Linked DNA regions of Daphnia pulex. The protein of the gene in region 1 binds, or shares a complex with, the protein of each later gene. Links are inferred from orthologs where the notes say so. Each region holds a gene or a part of one and is shown in the gene's direction. Other genes may lie near its edges.

Evidence for each region. The genes of interacting proteins can lie anywhere in the genome.
Region 2: the proteins of cysteine desulfurase, mitochondrial-like (region 1) and adrenodoxin-like protein 1, mitochondrial are in contact, whole or in part, in a cryo-EM structure (PDB 8RMC), measured with the Homo sapiens proteins. The link is inferred for Daphnia pulex from reciprocal best matches to the Homo sapiens genes NFS1 and FDX2. Residues at the interface, in NP_066923.3 of Homo sapiens: Gln153, Lys157, Leu160, Asp161, Arg164, Ala168, Tyr175, Ala384, Ser385, Leu386, Glu387, Pro388, Tyr390, Arg393, Gln456, His457; in NP_001384335.1 of Homo sapiens: Ala104, Cys105, Glu106, Ala110, Cys111, Pro141, Leu142, Ile169, Thr170, Arg171, Asn172, Phe173, Tyr174, Val175, Asp176, His178, Lys181.

Annotation. Positions count from the first base shown.
Region 1 is NC_060020.1:4,726,127-4,730,170, reverse strand, and holds cysteine desulfurase, mitochondrial-like, read left to right. Parts: upstream 1-1,292; 5' UTR 1,293-1,384; coding exon 1,385-1,550; intron 1,551-1,616; coding exon 1,617-1,687; intron 1,688-1,756; coding exon 1,757-1,873; intron 1,874-1,945; coding exon 1,946-2,083; intron 2,084-2,166; coding exon 2,167-2,359; intron 2,360-2,420; coding exon 2,421-2,555; intron 2,556-2,636; coding exon 2,637-2,794; intron 2,795-2,855; coding exon 2,856-3,021; intron 3,022-3,084; coding exon 3,085-3,280; intron 3,281-3,392; coding exon 3,393-3,456; 3' UTR 3,457-3,544; downstream 3,545-4,044. Other genes in the region: apoptosis-inducing factor 3-like, read left to right, coding at 1-310; uncharacterized protein LOC124193102, read right to left, coding at 433-585, 668-779, 889-953.
Region 2 is NC_060020.1:3,486,752-3,489,706, forward strand, and holds adrenodoxin-like protein 1, mitochondrial, read left to right. Parts: upstream 1-1,458; 5' UTR 1,459-1,481; coding exon 1,482-1,623; intron 1,624-1,747; coding exon 1,748-1,799; intron 1,800-1,926; coding exon 1,927-2,033; intron 2,034-2,109; coding exon 2,110-2,354; 3' UTR 2,355-2,455; downstream 2,456-2,955. Other genes in the region: VWFA and cache domain-containing protein 1-like, read right to left, coding at 1-300, 361-467, 533-1,062; myophilin-like, read right to left, coding at 2,861-2,886. UniProt on the Homo sapiens protein: Electron donor, of the core iron-sulfur cluster (ISC) assembly complex, that acts to reduce the persulfide into sulfide during [2Fe-2S] clusters assembly on the scaffolding protein ISCU.

The DNA of each region.
Region 1 (4,044 bases):
TATTATGGGACGATCGGAACCAATCTACAAAACAACTGTTCCATTTTTTTGGTCTTCTATGTTTGGGAAAAGCGTACGTTACTGTGGCTACGCTCCACAGTTTGATGATGTTGTAATCCATGGCGACCTAGAGAACCTTAAATTCGTTGCATTCCTCTGTGAGCAAGAAAATGTTCTTGCTATTGTCACTCTCAACTATGATCCCCTAGCAATTCAGTTTGCTGCTTTGTTAAGAGAAGGGAAGACACTGCTTAAGCAGGATATTTCTGAAGATCCTAAAGGCTGGACCACCAAACTTCAAGACTTATAAATCAAATTGGTTGGATGGACAAATTTAATTTGTTTTTGCTGTTTCATTCACCAACACAAAGGAACACAAATCTGATTTTTACTGTTTTAATTCACTAAATACAAAAGAACATTAACTGTTATTCAATCCCACTTATTGGAAGCCATCAAAGGACCTTCAAGGCGTTCTTCAAGGGTTACATGAGGTTTGTATGGTCTACTTTGTTTTAAGTAAATCTTATCAGCCAGCCATTTTTCGTGTTTTCCCAAAGATTTTGAAAAGCCACTTTCTTCTTCCTAAAAGGAAAATTTTGAAAAATTAGAATGAAGCTATCTAGATCAACACATTTTTTTGGTAAACAAATATATAGATTTCTACCTGAGTTAGGAATGAATGTCTCAAAAAAAACATGGTTTGTTCCTCAATGGCAAATCTTTTTCTTAGTCGTTCTCCATTTTCTTCATTATGTTTATAAACCATTCGATGTTTTCTAATAAAAACAATATAGTTAAACATATAATTTTCTGAGGGTAAACGGTAAGGGACATTAACACAATTTAAGCATGTCTGTGGTCAGGCATAATTATATATTTTATTACCCTCCCCAAATATTCCCAGGCGGCATTTTTTTCCTGAAACCACATAAAATGCTTGAAAGTCGCATTCTAATTGGTATTGCAAATGTTTTAAGTAAATATAACTTTTAAAATAAGGCTTGAACCTTGAAATCACTAAAAAACTGAAAGCCTAGATTCGATTGTTTACTTAGCGTCGACTGCTTTCGCTCGTGTAGTTTTATCTGACACCATTGTCAGCTTCGCTACTCAGAACTCAGAATCCAGATATTGTTATATAACGAAAAACAAACCAATAAAAACATTTTAAATTTACTTAAAGTAAATTAATTGCTAAAATGTCAATTTTTAAAGAATAAACAATATATTTGATTCTATTATTTACAAAGGTCCAACGCCGCATTTTACTAGCCTTAGGCAATCCATGTGTTTCATAACCAATAACCAAAATACACTTGATTTGTACGGTTCTGCACTTCTGCGATTTGTTGTCTAAAATTTATTTGTTGAAGTTTTTAAAATGTTTCGTAACTTTTCGAAATCAAACCGTTGGATTGTATGTCAATTTTCTTTAAAAGCAGAAAGTTTGCTAACAGAGAAGACATTTCATCAAAATATATTAAAATTCCCTATTTCAAAATGCATTGCCCTATCAAGAAAATACAGTACACTGACAGGTATCAAGGGTAAGACATAATAACTCCACTTAATGATCAGTTATTTGCTAATATGTGATCTCAACTTCATTATAGACAAAGATTTCAGTAAATTTGAAGGTGAAGGGAGACCACTGTATTTGGATGCTCAAGCCACAACTCCAGTTGTAAGTATAGCCTATGAACAAAAATGTATCATTCTTGAATGTAAATATATTTACTCCATTTAACTTTAGGATCCAAGGGTATTAGATGCAATGCTTCCTTACATGACAAATTATTATGGCAACCCTCATTCAAGAACTCACTCGTATGGATGGGAAAGTGAGAAGGCAGTTGAAGTAGCTCGTGAGGTTGATTTACAAGAAAATGTTTTACAATTAAGAATACTCATCAAATTAAAGTTTATTTAAATACTATTTCAGCAAGTTGCCAAGCTTATAAATGCAGATCCAAAAGAAATTATTTTCACATCTGGTGCTACAGAGAGTAACAACATAGCAATTAAAGGTGTTGCAAGATTTTACAAAATGAAAAAGAATCATATAATCACTACACAGACAGTAAGATCTATTACATGAAATAACCATTATTTTTTTCCTTATGGTATTGAGTAAAAAAATTTTGTTTTTGTGATGATTTTCAGGAACATAAATGTGTTCTCGATTCCTGTCGCGTTCTCGAGGGGGAAGGGTTTGAAGTAACTTATCTTCCTGTTCTTCCTAGTGGCTTAATTGACTTAAATAGTCTTCAAAATGCAATCAGACCTACAACTGTGTTGGTTTCAATAATGGGTGTCAATAATGAAATTGGAGTTAAACAGCCATTAGCAGAAATTGGTTTGAAAATTTAAACATTGTAGAGTCTATTTTTCTATTCATAAATTTTTCTCAACATTAGGTGCTATGTGTCGAAAAGCTAAAGTGTTTTTCCACTGTGATGCAGCTCAAGCTGTAGGTAAAATTCCGATTGATGTCGAATCGATGTCAATTGATTTAATGTCCATAAGTGGACATAAGATCTATGGTCCTAAAGGTATCAATTACAATTTATTTGATTATTATTATTCCGATGTAATTGACTTTTTTTTTGCATCGCTCGTTTCTTGAACAAAAGGTGTTGGTGCTCTTTACGTGAGACGCCGACCACGGGTTAGGATTGAAGCTCTGCAAAGCGGAGGTGGTCAGGAACGAGGAATACGTAGTGGAACAGTTCCTACTCCGCTGACAGTCGGCATTGGCGCAGCATGTGAAATAGCTCAGCAAGAACTTCAGGTTTTAGTTCATGGCGTAGTATTATCTACATATCACTAAATTGATCCAAATCGTCTCTTAGTATGATCACGCCAGAATCAGTAAACTATCCCAACGCTTGATCGATCAGATTAGCCATAGTTTAACACACGTCATACGAAATGGAGATCCCGAACACTCCTACCCAGGTTGTGTTAACCTTTCTTTCGCCTACGTCGAGGGAGAAAGTCTTTTGATGGCCCTGAAAGGTAAACTTTAAAGGCAACTTCCACTACCTTTCTTTTTAACTATATTTGTTTTTATTACATAAGACGTGGCACTATCAAGCGGAAGTGCTTGCACCTCAGCATCGCTGGAACCTTCATATGTTTTGCGGGCCATTGGCGCTGAAGAAGATTTGGCGCATTCTTCTATTCGATTTGGAATTGGGCGATTCACCACCGAAGCTGAGGTTGATTACACCGCACAAAAGTGTATTCATCAAGTCACCAAACTTCGGGAAATGAGGTAAATACCGAATTCGAAGAAGTCGAACCGTAACCCGGGTCTGGAATTCCCCGACAAATAACTTCCTTCATTTCTGCTAAAAATGTTAATTATGTTTTTTCTCCACTTTTAGTCCTCTTTGGGAAATGGTCCAAGAAGGGATTGATTTGAAAAGTATCAAATGGACGCAGCACTAATCTTTCCATTCAAAAACAAAACTGAAAATGTTGCTGTATAAATTCAGCCTTGTAAAGAAAATGATTTGGAAATATACACTGAAAATAGTGTTGACCAATAACCTTTAATATCTTTTAAGACGATTGTTGCAGAAAATGGTATCGTAAAGTTACAAGTTACTTTGGACTCTTTAACAGTAAAATGAGCCGGGAAATTTATTAGCTATCGGTACCATTGCGGTGCAATAATAAGTCAATATAAAGTATCGAAGGACTAGATCTAGAATAGATTAAAAAAAAAAAAAAACGGCACATCCTGCAGAGAAATTTGACAGCCTTAATATGTCCGTTTTTTGTTCAATAAACGAGTTGATATTTTTGACAATGCCAAACGACTAAGTTTCCGTCGAAGCTCTTTGGGTTAAAAAAGTTTGAAGTCGTTCCTAGCACACAAAAAAGCAGGTGTGCATGGTAACGAAGACTTTTGATTCCTTTCACACTCTTTGTATGTGATTTATGGGGCACTTTTACTTGACATTATACTTGAAGTCATTACATGAATTTCATTTAAAGTTTGGAAAAGGTGAAGAAGTTAATGTAATCTTAAGC
Region 2 (2,955 bases), about 1.2 Mb from region 1:
TCAATCCAATGTGGTCCTTATCCGACAAGCTTGTGACGATATATTTTCCAATGGCTTTTGCGATGGATAGTTGATTTGGACTTAGCGCACTTCCATGGTCAATTACCATGACAACAAATTTAGGTTCTGGGTAGACTGAGGAAAGATACAAGTTCCTTCGGCGCAAAAGGTCGCCGGCTTTGTTGCATCCAGTAGACTTGCTATCAATGCGATGAGCTGGATATTCACTGAGCCCACCATCTGCACTAAGGAAGTACTGCCACTTGATGGAAGAAGTTGCTTTCAAATTGTTGGCAAAAACTGCAAAACAAATTCACAATTATTTTAAATGTAATATTTTTTATGCATGAAACTGTTTACCATCAGTCAGATTATGTCCAGGGGAAAAACTGAGGGGCTTGTGGTTTGGTACCGACACATCACAAGATAGTTCTTCAGAAACCAGAGTTCCAAAATGGCTATCATACCTTCACAGCAATGTATAAATAAAATGTAGAGCACTTCAAAAAATGTATTGAAAATATTTATTTACCTTAGCATTCCATCTGGAAGTTCACAACAAGGTGCAGGAGTGCTTAAAGGCCTGTGTAAGTGATGCCAAAAGAGTTCCTCAATGGCAATTCTACTACTGTTCACTAAAGAAGAATAGTGAGACAGTTTACGCTGAATACGATCACTGAGATCTTTCACTCTGGACGAGTCATCTTTCTCCAATAAACCAAACGGAAGGGAGTCATATATAGTTTGAAGATTTGTGACCCCCAACTCTTCGTTGCTGACTGTGCGCATGAAAGATGTAAGCATCTGAGACCCTTCATCCAAATAGAATCCTTTGATGGGTTCAATTTCTTCCTCTTCAGCCAAACCAGCACCCATCCACCTGTTTGGGTTCCTGAGTTCTTTTTTGACAGAAGTTCTGTCACGATCATCAGCTGCCACATCTCCTCCAGAAGAAATTTTTGGAGACTCTGCAGCCAAGAAAAGGCAAGACATATCCAACAGCAACAGAAGCGTTATCAGAAGGCATTGCCGCAAGCGATAGGCCTTTGACCAAGCCGCCATGATGTTTAGATTTTGGCTTTGTTTAGGCGGCCGCCAGTCCCTTGATCTCGAAATTCTTCTCAATTAGAGGTTGATGAAAAAAAATCCGCACAGTAACGAATGCAGCATTCTCACTTGTGTTTCAAAACACCATATGCAATTCGGTCTTTTAAAGAGGCTCGCGTAAATTCAAAAATTCCACAAACACAAACCTAGAAAAGAAAAAAAAGGCCACCAGGCATAGAGTTGACACAGATGAAAGCGTTGTCAGACTGTCTAATGTAAATAAATTTTAAAAATTTAGAGTTCTATTGAAATGTTTTTGAAAATTTGTCATAAAAAATTAATTATAATTTATTTTAAAATGCATTTCATTTTAGGTATAAATTTAAAAATACTTGAATACGCTTACGGAATCGTTCAATATCGCAATTCACAGCATGGCAGCATCCGTTCGACTTACAACTTGTTTACGATACATTTTCAGGTGGAAATTTAGAAATGAAAGATATTTACATTCCAATGTATCTAGTTTTGTTCAAAAAAACAAATATAACGTCCGAACATTTTCTTTGAGTCCCGGTAAGAATATTTTTCTTGATTGTGTAATGAATTCCTAGTATTAGATAACGTCATTGTGCCGTACTGTCGTTTGCTTCAAAATATTTTTACTAATCCTTTTTATTTTATTTGCTACTTGTTTCAGCTGTGTGGAGCGGGGAATACGAATGGCAGGATCCAAAGTCAGAAGACGAAGTGTAAGGTTCACTGCAATAAAAGTTACTCCATAACAACATTGTGTAAATGTTTGATTAATTATCAAACGATGTCAAAGTTTTCATTTATATTAAGGTCAATTTTTTATTTTTTTTTATTTATTTCTAGTGTAAATATAACCTTCATTGACAAAGAAGGAAAACAGAAGCCAGTCCGGGGGAAGGTGGGTGATAATGTCCTTTACTTGGCTCACCGCTATGGAATCGAGTTGGAAGGTAAACAAATGACCATATTCTGAATGTTGGTTGTAGTTTGCTTATTCATGAGAAAATTTACAACACACCTATTTAGGTGCATGTGAAGCATCATTAGCTTGTTCAACATGCCAGGTTTATGTCCAAGAAGAGTATTATGATAAGCTGTCAGAGGCCAAGGAAGAGGAGGAGGATATGCTGGACATGGCTCCTGGATTGAAGCCTAATTCTCGCCTGGGCTGTCAAATCATCTTGTCACACGATCTTGAAGGCATGGTTCTTAAACTTCCTACCATCACGCGTAATTTTTACGTAGATGGCCATGTTCCACAGCCTCACTGATTTAGATACAAATGTAGCTGCTGCTGTGTACATTAGCGAATGGTGTTGTGTATTATTAGATGTAACTCGCCATATGACAAAAAAATAATGATCAAAACCTTGTGAGGAGTGAAGGCACTTGTTCCATTATGTAATCGGTAAAGCACAATGAACGGCGGAAGAAAGATGAGGGGACAGTTTGCTGCAGAAGAATTGCCAATCTCGGTTGAAGGATGGTGACACAGAGCAAATAATAAAGAATTCAGCAAAGCAGGGAGGAAGAAGAGTAGATTTTTTTTATATCTGCCAATCGATCGGAATGTGTAACACAAAAAAGAAAACAAGTCATATCGACGTCCTTTGAACATATAAAGGCATTACTCGCGCAGAACAAAACAAAAGGGGGGAAATTCAGAAGAAATGCTTGCATGATGAAATCTGCCCAGAAAAATGCGCAACAGGCTGACATTTTCCTCCAGCAGGTGAATTGAGAGCCACTATTTTCCTTTTCTTTTTTCTTTCTCCCTCTAGTGCATTCCGTTGTGAGCGAACTCTGAAATAAGCAAAAGAAAAAACTAGCATTATAGACAAAATATTTTTTTTTTTTTTTACTACGTAAGTC